2 linked regions of the Drosophila melanogaster genome follow. Changing the gene in region 2 together with the main gene of any one other region gives a genetic interaction. Each region holds a gene or a part of one and is shown on either strand. Other genes may lie near its edges. The genes, in order: capt and Pka-R1.

Region 1 (7,076 bases), on a different chromosome or scaffold from region 2:
ACCCACATAAGGGTTAACTCGCTTGACTATTTCCACGAATGTACGCCTGGTCCCACCAAAGGCCACGCCAAGTTATTATTTTCGCCATTTCGCCGGTGTTCGCTACGCAGCTTCTCGTCAGTTCTAATTGGAATACAACTGCAGATCCTTGCAAATTCATCAGCAGCAAAAGAAGGTGAGTAACGCCTGATTGTTGCTAAAAACGTTCATTTAAACGGGGCTTTGCTATTATTCGCAAATTCTCTTCTCCCGTTCGCCGGCTGAAAGTGTCTGCGGAATTAACGGTTATTGGTGAGGGGTGGGTGGTGCTGTCACGAATTTGAGCGTGTGTGTGTGATGCAGGCTGTGGGTGTTTGTACACACACAACAACAACAACAGCGAAGAGAGCCAAAAAGACAAGAGACAGCTGTGTGATGGCTATTTTTGTGTGATTCATGTTGCTTGTAAAATTAAATCTACATGGTGTATTTTTAACGATGATTTCATATCCGATTCCATGGCATAAAGACACAACTAATTCATTGCCAGCAAGTGTATGCAAATTAACCCTTAGCAGCTCCCATTGCGATTGTTAACCCCCGATAAAAAAAAGTAACTACTCAGCTGTTGTGGCCATTTTTTGTTTTTGTTTCGCTGACTCACAGACACATAGTTGATATGCATATGTATGTATGCATGTATGTAGTTTACGCAAGAGCAAACACGTTTGCTTGTATTCGTGCGCGAATGAGTCAAAAAGTTGGCCAAAACGCTTTTATCAGCGAATCGCGATTGAAAATCGGCAGATATTACCACTCACTCGATTTCGGTGGAAGAAAATAACACCTCGCCTTATAAGGTGGGCGATTTTTCTTCTACCATTACGAACACCCCCCACCCCTGGTAATTCGAGCTCACTCACACTCTCGCAGCGGGAATAACGGTTCCTCAGCTGCAGACATTTAATCTTGGTTTCTAGTTTTTCTTCCCCATTTCTTCTTTGCTTTCTGCACGCAACAAACGCATCTGCCGCAGAAAACGCATCAAGACTGCAAGGAGAACTAGTATCGCCAGGCGAAAGTTGAATCTCGGCTTACTTGTCCTCGGCGGCTTAGCCCCTCCCTCCAATCCAACGGCTACTGATGCATTTCCCACTCTAATTGCCAGCCATTTGTTTAAAGCTACTTAAAAACAAAAACAACGTTGCCGGTGCAATAAACCCATTGCACTAAGGCCAAAACAAAAACTGGCAAGCAAACGATATGGGAGTTTCAGTTACGTCGACGTTTTTATACTCTTCTGCGGCAGATTACTTCACAAAAAGCTGAACATTTTAAAACTGTTTTTATAGCCGGCTAAGATATGATCATTGCATCTCTCTACTCTCTATGGCTTACAAACGTTATGGTAATGCTCAAAATGGAATCATAGTTTCATTACCGATCATTCCTGGAAACTTTCCAAATAGTAAAGATAACTCGGTGTTGTCACAACTAATTGATAGGCGAACCCTGCCTTACAGGGCTGATAAAACTATGGGATCGCCGTGGTTTTCCCTCACTTAAGTCGCGCCACCCGTGGCGAGAAGGGTATCACGAAATCACAGTGGTGTCTGCGCAACTCTCTCGGAGAGTTTTCCATTTTCCGCCTGGACCGTAAGCTTTCTCTGCTGCAAAAGTGCAAGACATCGCCGGAGCTTGCACAAAATCCTGCATGTCAGGCCAAAAGCGGTTATTAATGAAACACATTTCATTGCCAGTCGGTGGCTGGCCCCAAATGGTCAAAAGCAGCGCGGAGTAGCCCAACAAGGCGGCGAAACTCAGCAGTTAACAGCGCGGAGCTCTCCTAACAGAGTCCTGTTGAGACCTTCGAGTTCGAGTTCGAAATCGAATCGAATCCCCGAGTGCGTGGGCGTGCGCTTCGTTTAGGGTGTGTTCTGTTCTCCGTGTGTAATCGCATTTGTGTGCCATTTGGTTCTGTGCTTGGTCGGCAGTCACTTGACCCAGTTGAAGGCGCGGACAACTCGGAGGACCTTATTAATGTGCCACTAAATTTGGGCCATACACTGAATATATGTACACAGTGAGCAAGGAGTGGCCACGTTCGTTGGAAACCCGTTGAGTGTCTTATATGGCTGCTGCTGTTACTGCTTCTACTGATTCGATTTGGTTTGGTGTGCCGTCAGTGTTGTGACCGCCGCTTGAGCTTCACGGGCATCCGCAGTCGAGCCACGGAACTTACATAATGTGCTTGATTCGTACCTAGAGTGTTGAGCACCGGAAAAGCCCAGCCACACGCCTGCAAAATGTTCTCCTGCTGCCGATCGAACCCCAAGGCGGGCAAGAAGGAGAAGGAAAAGCGGAACGCAGAGGAGGAGAACGGCGGACAGGTCACCGAAAAGGAGGAACCCCAGCTGAACGGCAAGCCAGGAACTCCGAAGGAGGAGCCAGAGCCTGTGAAACCAGAAAAGGAGCTCTTGGAAGCGCATAATCCCGAGGATGTGCCCACAAGCACCCAGCCAAACACTGGTACTGACGCAACGCTAAGTATTTACCCACCACCCCATCTATTCGCGTTCTCCGGCCTTCGAGCTCAACAGCTGTCTCGGCTTTTGTCTGCTCTCCGGAACGAAGGCCCCTATCCGGCCGGCTCTCACTCACTGCAATGCCACTGCAGCTGACCACCACTTCTGATCTTTCCTTTCATTTCAATCCGGGCACTTCAAGCTGCCTTGAGTGTCCTTTTCTATTTACTTATGAGTTGTCTTCACTGTGCTTTCTCTTCGGTTTATTTCTGTGAATTTTATACATATGAATATCAAGGAATTGCGCCGATTCTCAGTTGATTAATGAGGAATAGCTAATGACATTGCATACACACTTTTTGTTGAGCACTTAGATCGTGCTCATCCATCAAAGTGAACGTATAGTATATAGTAGTGACGAATATAGAAACTAAAATGAAGGTCAATAATTTAGACAGAAAATTCAAGATTCTATAGATTCTATAATAATAAGGTGAGCAGTAAAAACTAACTACTCAATCTGCCAGTGACCATGGTAAATGCTTTTAAATGCGATAAATAAACATAATGAAGACAGGAAGCGAGGTGAGCAGAGAGTGAAGTGAAGTAATCAACTTAAGTATCGGCGCTTTCCTTGATGATCGTCTTGGTAATTCGTCGCTTCATGTAGAGTAATCTTAAGCAACACTTCCACAGCCCAACCAACTCAGGCTGAAGCGGCTAGCAAATCATCACCAGCAAATCCAGCACTAGCACCCAAAGAACCGGAGCCACTGGCCCGCTCAACGCACTCTTCCACATCCACGGCACCACCTGCTTCGATGACCAGCGGCGACGCGGAGGAGGCGGACGAAGTGGTGGTGGTGGCGACGGTCACGCCGACCACACCGCCTCCTCAGCCGCCGCCCACCAAGAGCTGCCTGTCCAGGCACAACTCAACGCATCAGTCGATCAAGAAGAAGGTGAATATCAGCAACCGGGCGGAGATCATCGAGCCGGATCCACTGCCACTGCTCCTGCTGGCCAGCCAGAATCAGGGCTCCTTGCTGGACGACGACGAGGTGTTCTCCGACTCACTGCCGCCACCCAAGCGGGAGAGCATGTGTGCACCCTACATCGAGGGGGATGTCGTCTCGGAAACACTCTTCTTTGCCCACGGATTACCCTCGTGGTTCGACGACGAGCGCCTGAACGACATGTATGCTTACCCAAGATCCTGTTTTGGTTTCACGCCCAAAATATCCATATAGTTAAGCTGAAACCAGAACAGGTCGACCCCTGCATTCCCAGCCCCGCTTTGAATTGCCAGTACATCGTCTCCTCTGTCCTCGTTCCATGTCCAGCGGCTGCATCGAGCCCCCGGTCACGCCGGTGGGACGCGACGAGCTGGAGCTGAAGCGCCAGCGTCTCTACACGGAGCTCCTGCGGGCCGCCCATGCGGCTGTGGAGCATAGCGTGGCCGTGCGGGGTATGCGAGCTTCGATAGAGTCCGATTCTTTTGCTTTTTTTTTTCGATCTCAGCAGTTATTTAAGCGGATGCTTGACTTTCTGTGTTCTTTATGTGTTCGTTTTCGCTGTGAAGAAGTTTTGAGAGTCTAGCGATTCACGTAACTTCCTGATGGCCAATAAGTTCGCAAGTCAAGTGCTTCCGTTTAAAGGTTCAACTTAGTTCTTCTCTCTTATGATTTTTCGTTGTCTTGTGCCGTTTTTGCATGTGGATTATTACTTTCACTCGTTGGGATTAGCTCTTTTTGCATATTGAACTTTATAAGTATTAAGCGCACCAGTTCATCATCATACACAAGCTCGTGATGAGGTATTCCTCTCGAGACGCCTTAGTTTATATCGCCTTTTTTGTCAGGTATTGTGAGTGCACGATTCACTGGGGTTTATCACGCTGAAGCATCATCTCACTCAAGTTATTTTCTTTATAAAACTCAGTGTTATTTGAATAATTCGAGATAATTGCCAAAACGAACTAAACATTTGCCGTTCTCCTCCGCGTCATTTTGGTTCAGATAACGAGCCGGAAGCCAAGCCCTCGGCCGCCGTCGACCACTTGGAGAGCATTTGCGAGCGACTGGAGACCCTCGTCGACCGATTGGAACGGACTCTAACAGCGCCACAGCCGATAGAACTGCCCACGCCCACACTCCCGCCTCCGCCAGCCGAAGAAGAAGAAGCTCTTCCAGTTTTTGAAAAAGCAGAGACACCACCTCCACCTCCCTCGCCGCCCAGCAGCAACATGAGTGTCGCCGGATTCGAGGACATTGTGGCGGGTCCGCTGAGCCAATACCTAACTCTCTCCGCCAAAATTGGCGGCGATGTGGCGCAGCATGCGGAGCTCGTGAAGAGCGCCTTTGGGTGAGTCAGTCTGGATGAGTCATCTATGGTAAAAGTGTAATAATGCCATCGTTCAATTCCGCAACAGCTCCCAACTGCAGTACGTGACGCTGGCCACCCAGATCGCCCAGCCGGCGCAGCCCAAGCAGGCGGAGCTTCTGAAGCCGACCTCGACGCAGATCAGCGCCATCCAGGACTTCCGCGAGAAGCACCGCTCCTCGCCCTTCTTCAACCACCTGTCGGCCATCAGCGAAAGCATTCCCGCCTTGGGCTGGGTGTGCGTGGAGAAGACCCCGGGTCCCTATGTCAAGGAGATGAACGACGCCGGCCAGTTCTACACGAACCGCGTGCTCAAGGAGTGGAAGGAGAAGGATGTTACGCATGTGGAGTGGGCCCGCGCCTGGGTGCAGACGCTCACCGAACTGCAGGCCTACATCCGGCAGTACCACACCACGGGCTTGGTGTGGTCCGGCAAGGGAGCGGCCCCCGCCGGAGGTGCCCCGCCACCACCGCCACCCGGTGGTCTGCCCCCACCGCCGCCCATGCTGGATCTGAGTGCCCTCAAGCTGGATAGCGCCGGAGATGATCGCAGCGCCCTCTTCGCCCAGATCAACCAGGGTGCCGACATCACCAAGGGTGAGCAGCAACTGCAAAAATGGTTAAGTGCTCCTATAGTAAGAAAATGTATCTTTTGATAAACCCGCAGGCTTGAAGAAGGTCACTGGCGACATGCAGACCCATAAAAATCCATCTCTACGCACTGGACCGGCTCCGTTCAAATCGCCAGCCCAGTCGGGCGGCAGCAAGGCCGTTGCTGCTCCATCAGCTGCGCAAGCCAAGGCGCCCGTTTTCGAGCGCGACGGAAAGAAGTGGATCATCGAGTACCAGAAGAACAACACCGGGCTGTTGGTGGAGAACGCCGAGATGAACAACGTGGTGTATGTGTTCAAGTGTGAGGGATCCACTCTGACCGTCAAGGGCAAGGTGAACAACATCGTCTTCGACTCCTGCAAGAAGTGCTCCCTGCTGTTCGATTCCGTGGTGGCCTCCGTGGAGTTCGTCAACTGCCAGAGCGTGCAGATGCAGGTGCTCGGCTCGGTGCCGACGGTATCGATCGACAAGACCGACGGCTGCCAGATGTATCTGTCCAAGGACTCGCTGGGCGTGGAGATCGTCAACTCCAAGTCCTCGGAGATGAACATCCTGTTGCCCGACGACAGCGGCGATTATGTGAGTTCAAAAATTTGTCTCTTGTCTTCAGTCATTTATTTATTTTTTTTGTGATTTCCAGACCGAGTTGGCTTTACCGGAGCAGTATAAGACCACGATTGCCGGCAAGACCCTGAAGACTGTGTGCGTGGACAGCCTCGGCTAAGGCGGTTCTCCTCCTCGGGGATCCTGTTCGTTGCTTTTCCAACTGTCGTCAGCAGCAATCATAATTGTATTTAATCTAAGTGCAAAGTTTTCGTAATTCAAAGATTTTTAGATCAAACATTTCGTATTGATGATGTTGCCAAACATTGCTGTCCTGGCTCGTGGAAAGTATTTATATAATTTATTTCGATGGAAAAGCGATGGCCACAAACCGAACCCAATGTATTTATATCGAGAGTGTGTTGCAATGAGAAACTGAGCATGAAATCCGAACTTTTGAGCAGACTCTTTACTCGATCATCAGATGTAACTCCTTTTTATATTCTATTTAATAAAATTTAAACTTTTTTATCAGATTATTGTGGGAGTATCACAATTTCTGGGGGTGTTTTTCCTTACTTTGTAATCGTTTATTATTGCATTAAATCTAAAACTTCACTTTCGTCCGTTCGTACTTTTATTCTCTATTTAAACAAGGTGCTAGCATTTTTTATCAGATAAAAAAATGAGAACTTGATTTATTGCTACGTACATTTACAATTTCTTTAATGAAGCCGAGCTCAGAATGCAGGGGTCAAGGGTTGGATTGGAGGGGAATGGCTGGTGGCTAATACTAGGACCCTAGATCTTCTTGTACTCGATGCGCTCCACTTTGACCTCGTCGCCGATCAGTTGGTACACGTACGTGACCACCGTGGTGCTCTGAATGTCCATCAGCACGAACGAAGGCACCACATTGGTGTCCAGTGGGTTGAAGGCACCCGTGGCCGATCCCGGATTGATGTAGAATTTGTTGCCGTGCTCGTAGGCCTCGAACTTGTACGTGTGCCCCGTGATCAGGATGTCCACGTCCAG
Region 2 (5,001 bases):
AAACGTTAAAAATGAATTTTAAAGGATGGGCAAACGAAATTATTTAGTTTTAAAAGGAGGGCAATCGAAATTATTTAGTTTTAAGAGTGGGCAAACTAAAAAAACAAATTTTAAAGGGTGGGCAAACGAAATAATTTATTTTTAAAGGGTGGGCAAACGTTAAAAATGAATTTTAAAGGATGGGCAAACGAAATTATTTAGTTTTAAAAGGTGGGCAATCGAAATTATTTAGTTTTAAGAGTGGGCAAACGAAAAAAACAAATTTTAAAGGGTGGGCAAACGAAATAATTTATTTTTAAAGGGTGGGCAAACGTTAAAAATGAATTTTAAAGGATGGGCAAACGAAATTATTTAGTTTTAAAGAGCGCAGGGCAATCGAAATTATTTATTTTTAAATGGTGGGCAAACGTTTTTTATTGGAAATTTTTATTTTAAAGAGGTGGGCTAACGAAATTGGGTGTATTTTAAATGTGGGCAATCGAAAAAAAATTTTTGTTAAAGGTTTTTTAAAGGGTGGGCAAACGATAAAAACTAATAATAATGGTTGGGCAAACCTTTTTTGTTGATAATATTTGGTTTTAAGAGATGGGCAAACGATTTACTCTCTGATTAGACCGAGGTAAACTTAAAAGCCTTATATTTTCTAAAGTATAAATTTTTTCAAAATTCTAAAGGGTGGGCAAACGTGGGCAAACGATGTTATTGCGATTTAAAAAAAAAAATTTTGAAAAAAGCGAAATTTTTGATTTTCGAAAATTTTCGAACTTTTTCGAAAATTCATATCTCAAAAACTGGACGTGGGCAAAAAAAACTAATTGGTGGGCAAACATGGGCAAAAAATGGGCAAACGATTCCAGCTTTCAAATTTCAAAAATTCGATTTTTCCGACCCCAGCTTCTTTGAGCTCATAAATTGCTTTCATCGGACCCACTTAAAAATATCACAGAAATCGTTTTAATGCGATGCGAGTGCATAAAAAGGAAATAAAAGGTAGTAAAATAACAATTTAATCAAGTAAACAGAGCATAATTCGAGGCCATATTTCGGGGAAATTTTTCATTGGAATTGTATGTTAAATGCTTTGCGTTCTGGAAGGAAACAAACAGATTGGATAGAATACGAGTGTTGATTTCATTTAAAATTGTTGATTTTCATTAAAAAAAAATGTTGTCAATTTGTTTTTCCTCAAGGAGACTATTTATATAGCTTGGAAGAAAAATGTATCCAGTTATACCTTGATGGCAATTCGATAATCGGAAAGTAATATTACTATTAACAACTTTGAGTTCTAATAAATATCTAAAAATGAGAATTGTATACCTTTCAATGGGATAATATAGAAATATGAAGGAACGGAAGAAGAATGAATACTTGAATGTTAAAGATTAAGGATTCTTAAGCGTTAATGCAATGGGACCCTTTCTCTTCCTCACTATAAAAACGCTATTGAAACCAATTCTTTCCGAAATATTTACCAAGTTAACCGTATTTAACACTTCGAATTTTACCCACCATTTCGCTGGTCGAGTTCCTGTCACTTCCGCTTTGGCACTTTTCCAACCTCGTTTGGCCAACACAATTGATTGTTGTTTGTCTGTACTTTATGGCGGACACTGGGGACAAAGTGTCCGGCGTAGTTTTTGGCACGATTCCGCTGTTAATCAGAAGCCGGCGTAAACAGCGCCGGACGGAGCGATGACAGCCGTAAAAGCGGCATTAACACGACCGTTAAACCGGACAATTCGATGATCGGAGCAGCGGAATTCGCGTGGCCATCAATCAGGCAAGAAAGTCGAAAAGTAACGACCGCAAAAGGTGAATGGTAACTAGTAAATTGAGCAGTTAAGTTGGCGAAAAAACTAAAATTGGGAACAACGATGGGCAACTGACGGTGGCCAAAAAGTGACTGAGACAAACGAAAGGACGAAAGCAAACTCTAGCAGCCAGACACAAACACAATCTCGACGACGACAGGATGACCTTCACCAACACGCCCAGCGAAGGCAACCTTTCTATATATACACAAATATATACATACAAATACGACTGGCCAAAAAGTAAAGTTTTTCGCACACCCGCCCACCACCTCACACACATACACTCGCACTTGTGACGCAAGTCCTGGCAAAGGGAAAAGCTTTTACGGGAGAAAAGGGCCAGAAGTGCTAAAGGGAAAGCGAAGGGAGCGCTTTGATTTCGTTAGAATTCCCTTCGAGTTTCAAGTGCAAACTCGACATTTTGTCGCAAAAAGCAGCTCGTGGGGCATTATGAAATGCACTTTCTTTAAATTAGTATATAGTTTAGGTTACTATATTCTACTGTATCCCAAAAATTAACCCCTTTCCATTTACCTTTTTGCAAAAAATAAATTTATAATGTTTAAATAAAATGTGAACATTTTCTTCCTGTTCGTTCTTTTTCTTCAGATACGAAAGATATTTTGAAAGAATTAAAAGGCCTTAACGTAAAACATAGCAAACTTTTTCATATTTTATTAAATTTTTATATTCTAAGTAGGGTATTAGGTGCTCGCGGAATAAGGTAAACATTTTTTTGCATGTTTTTATTTGTGTTAGAACTAACGACATCGTGATTTGTAGTCACAAATCGAATCAACAAGACACCAATTTCAAACGATTCAAAGCTTTCTAGTATGCGCACACTCCCACACTTTAAATCTTTTTTCCGCCAAAAGCTTTTCAGCACAAATTCCTAGTGATTTCCTACTGTTTTCCGGAAATTGGAAACTTTTCCGACTTTCCAACTTACTTCGCGTTCCCGCTGGCGCTCAAGCTCAAGTTCCTGTTCACGTTCGCGGGCCAGAGTGGAGAGATGAATCTGCAGGCTGCGATCGCTGACGGCATCCTCCTCGGGAATTGTGGTGCAGGAGGTGCGAACATGCCGCATGCGATGCACTGCATCCAAGCTCAGCCGATGTTCGTGATCATCGCGGAGCAGAGCATCGAACATGGCCACCCCGCCATCGATGCTACTTTCGCGCAGGATGCGTCCGCCGCGTCCACTGCAATGGGGACTCTGCTGCTGATTCTGCTGATGCTGATGATGATGGTGGGTGGTGGCCACCACGCCCTCCGAAAACGAACGGATGCGCATGGCGCCGTTGGCATCGGTGGTCAAAGCCACCGAGCGGAAGCGATCGATGACCGCATCCTGGATGCTGTTCACACTCAACTGGTTGCCCATGGCGCGCGGAGGCAAACAAATAAAAAGCAAACGAACGGAGTGAACTAGGTGGAAGCAGGATGCTTCTGCACGGCGTCAGGATGCTAATCCAACTGACAGCGGGTCCGGCATTCAACAGGCAACTTGCCCCAGAGAGTCCGGCGCACACACACAGGCGTACTCAAAATCAAAGTTGGGAGAAAAAGGGGTAAGGAAAGTCGCTTGGCAAGTGAGAGGGGGAACAGGACGATGTGGAAAGGACCTCCACAGGTGCGCTGCTCTATTTACATTGCAGCATTGCAAGCTTTTGCTGCAGCCTGTCTCACAAAATAAACTTTAAAGCTTCACAATGAACAGAGGGAATACAGTTCTCCGAAGCAGGAAGCCGAAAATAAAGCATCCGTGCTGGGAAATCCACCTATGGATGGGTTTTTTTTTTAACAATCCGCTCGAAAATAGACCGCAAGTTGTATTGATTTTCGTTTAAGCGGCAGCATTAACCAGCAAAATGCCGCTTGTTGCTTACCAAGTGGTTGAAACCCCGGAAAGGAACGTAGTCGCACAGGATAATTTAAACACCTTCCCTCACCAACGACATTTCTGGTATTTCTTACATATTTTGTTCAGATTATAATATAACATTTAGTATTGCTTTTGTAAAATATTTGTTCATTTCATTTCATTGAAAACAAGGAAGTACGCTATTCTATTTCGTGAATATCAGATACGCGTTACTCAGCTAGTCGGATTGCAAACAGAATATTAAAACCTTTTTCAAGACACACGGACGGACGAATATGGCCAGCTCGACTGATACTGATCAAGAAACATTAAACATTTTCTCCTACAATATCTTGAACGAATATAGTATACAAAAATAACCATGGAAATATGGCGCCGATCTGCGAAATGTACTTTGAAAACAGCCAACTTGGTTTGAAAAAAGGAACTTTTTCTTGATCATAGTAGAATTGAGCCTTCATTCAAATCCAATTTCCAGGTCTCCACGCTGAAGCCAGCATACAAACAGTTAGTACACTACCTTTGAACGAGGAACAACTAAAATATTTCGATAAAATTGAGTACAGTTTTTTATACATATATAATTTTTTTTTGTATAATTCTGAGTAACAAATTTGTTTGTGAAAATTTCTGTCGAGCAAGAATTGGTTGCAAAATGAGTAATCTGAAACAAAAGGATAGCAAGCCGGAGGTGGCAGTAACAAAATCAGTGAAAACCTATAAAAAATCAATTGAATATGTTAATTCCGACGCCTCCGACATTGAAGAAGATATCAATAGGGCAGAGGACGAATACGCCTCATCGTCTGGCTTTGTTAATTTTCTGAGGGACTTTAAGAAGCGCTACGGAGAATATTACTCGAATAACGAGATAAGACGGGCTGCTGAAACCCGATGGAACGAAATGTCATTCCGTCATCGATGCCAGTATTCTGCGGTAAGTTAGGTGTCGAATACAAACGAAATGCACATGTATGCAATCGTAATGCACTTCCGCAGGAACCATTGGACACTTTTCATGTAGAGCCCAACAGTGTGAGCAGTCTTCAGCGTTCTAGTGAGGGCGAGCACAGAATGCACTCTGAAATAAGTGGCTGCGCAGACACTTTCTTCGGTGCCGGTGGCTCCAATAGCTGCACTCCAAGAAAGGAGAACAAGTGTTCCAAGCCCAGGGTGCGGAAGAGTTGCCCCAAACCACGGGCGAAAACCTCGAAGCAACGTCGCAGTTGCGGCAAACCGAAGCCCAAGGGCGCCCGACCCCGGAAGGCATGTCCCCGCCCCAGGAAGAAGATGGAA

What was found.
Region 1: of Pka-R1 (region 2) and capt, changing one enhances a phenotype caused by changing the other (phenotypic enhancement), as found in Drosophila melanogaster (one study listed by BioGRID).

What each region holds. Positions count from the first base shown.
Region 1 is NT_033779.5:1,151,178-1,158,253, reverse strand, and holds capt (capulet), read left to right. Parts: upstream 1-1,942; 5' UTR 1,943-2,285; coding exon 2,286-2,508; intron 2,509-3,200; coding exon 3,201-3,702; intron 3,703-3,847; coding exon 3,848-3,972; intron 3,973-4,522; coding exon 4,523-4,868; intron 4,869-4,935; coding exon 4,936-5,483; intron 5,484-5,553; coding exon 5,554-6,077; intron 6,078-6,138; coding exon 6,139-6,222; 3' UTR 6,223-6,576; downstream 6,577-7,076. Other genes in the region: Vps29 (vacuolar protein sorting 29), read right to left, coding at 6,843-7,076.
Region 2 is NT_037436.4:20,817,238-20,822,238, reverse strand, and holds the start of Pka-R1 (protein kinase, cAMP-dependent, regulatory subunit type 1), read right to left. Parts: upstream 3,275-5,001; 5' UTR 3,205-3,274; coding exon 2,770-3,204; intron 1,909-2,769; exon of another isoform or gene 1,516-1,908; coding exon of another isoform or gene 1,513-1,515; intron 1-1,512. Other genes in the region: Mst77F (Male-specific transcript 77F), read left to right, coding at 4,361-4,642, 4,705-5,001.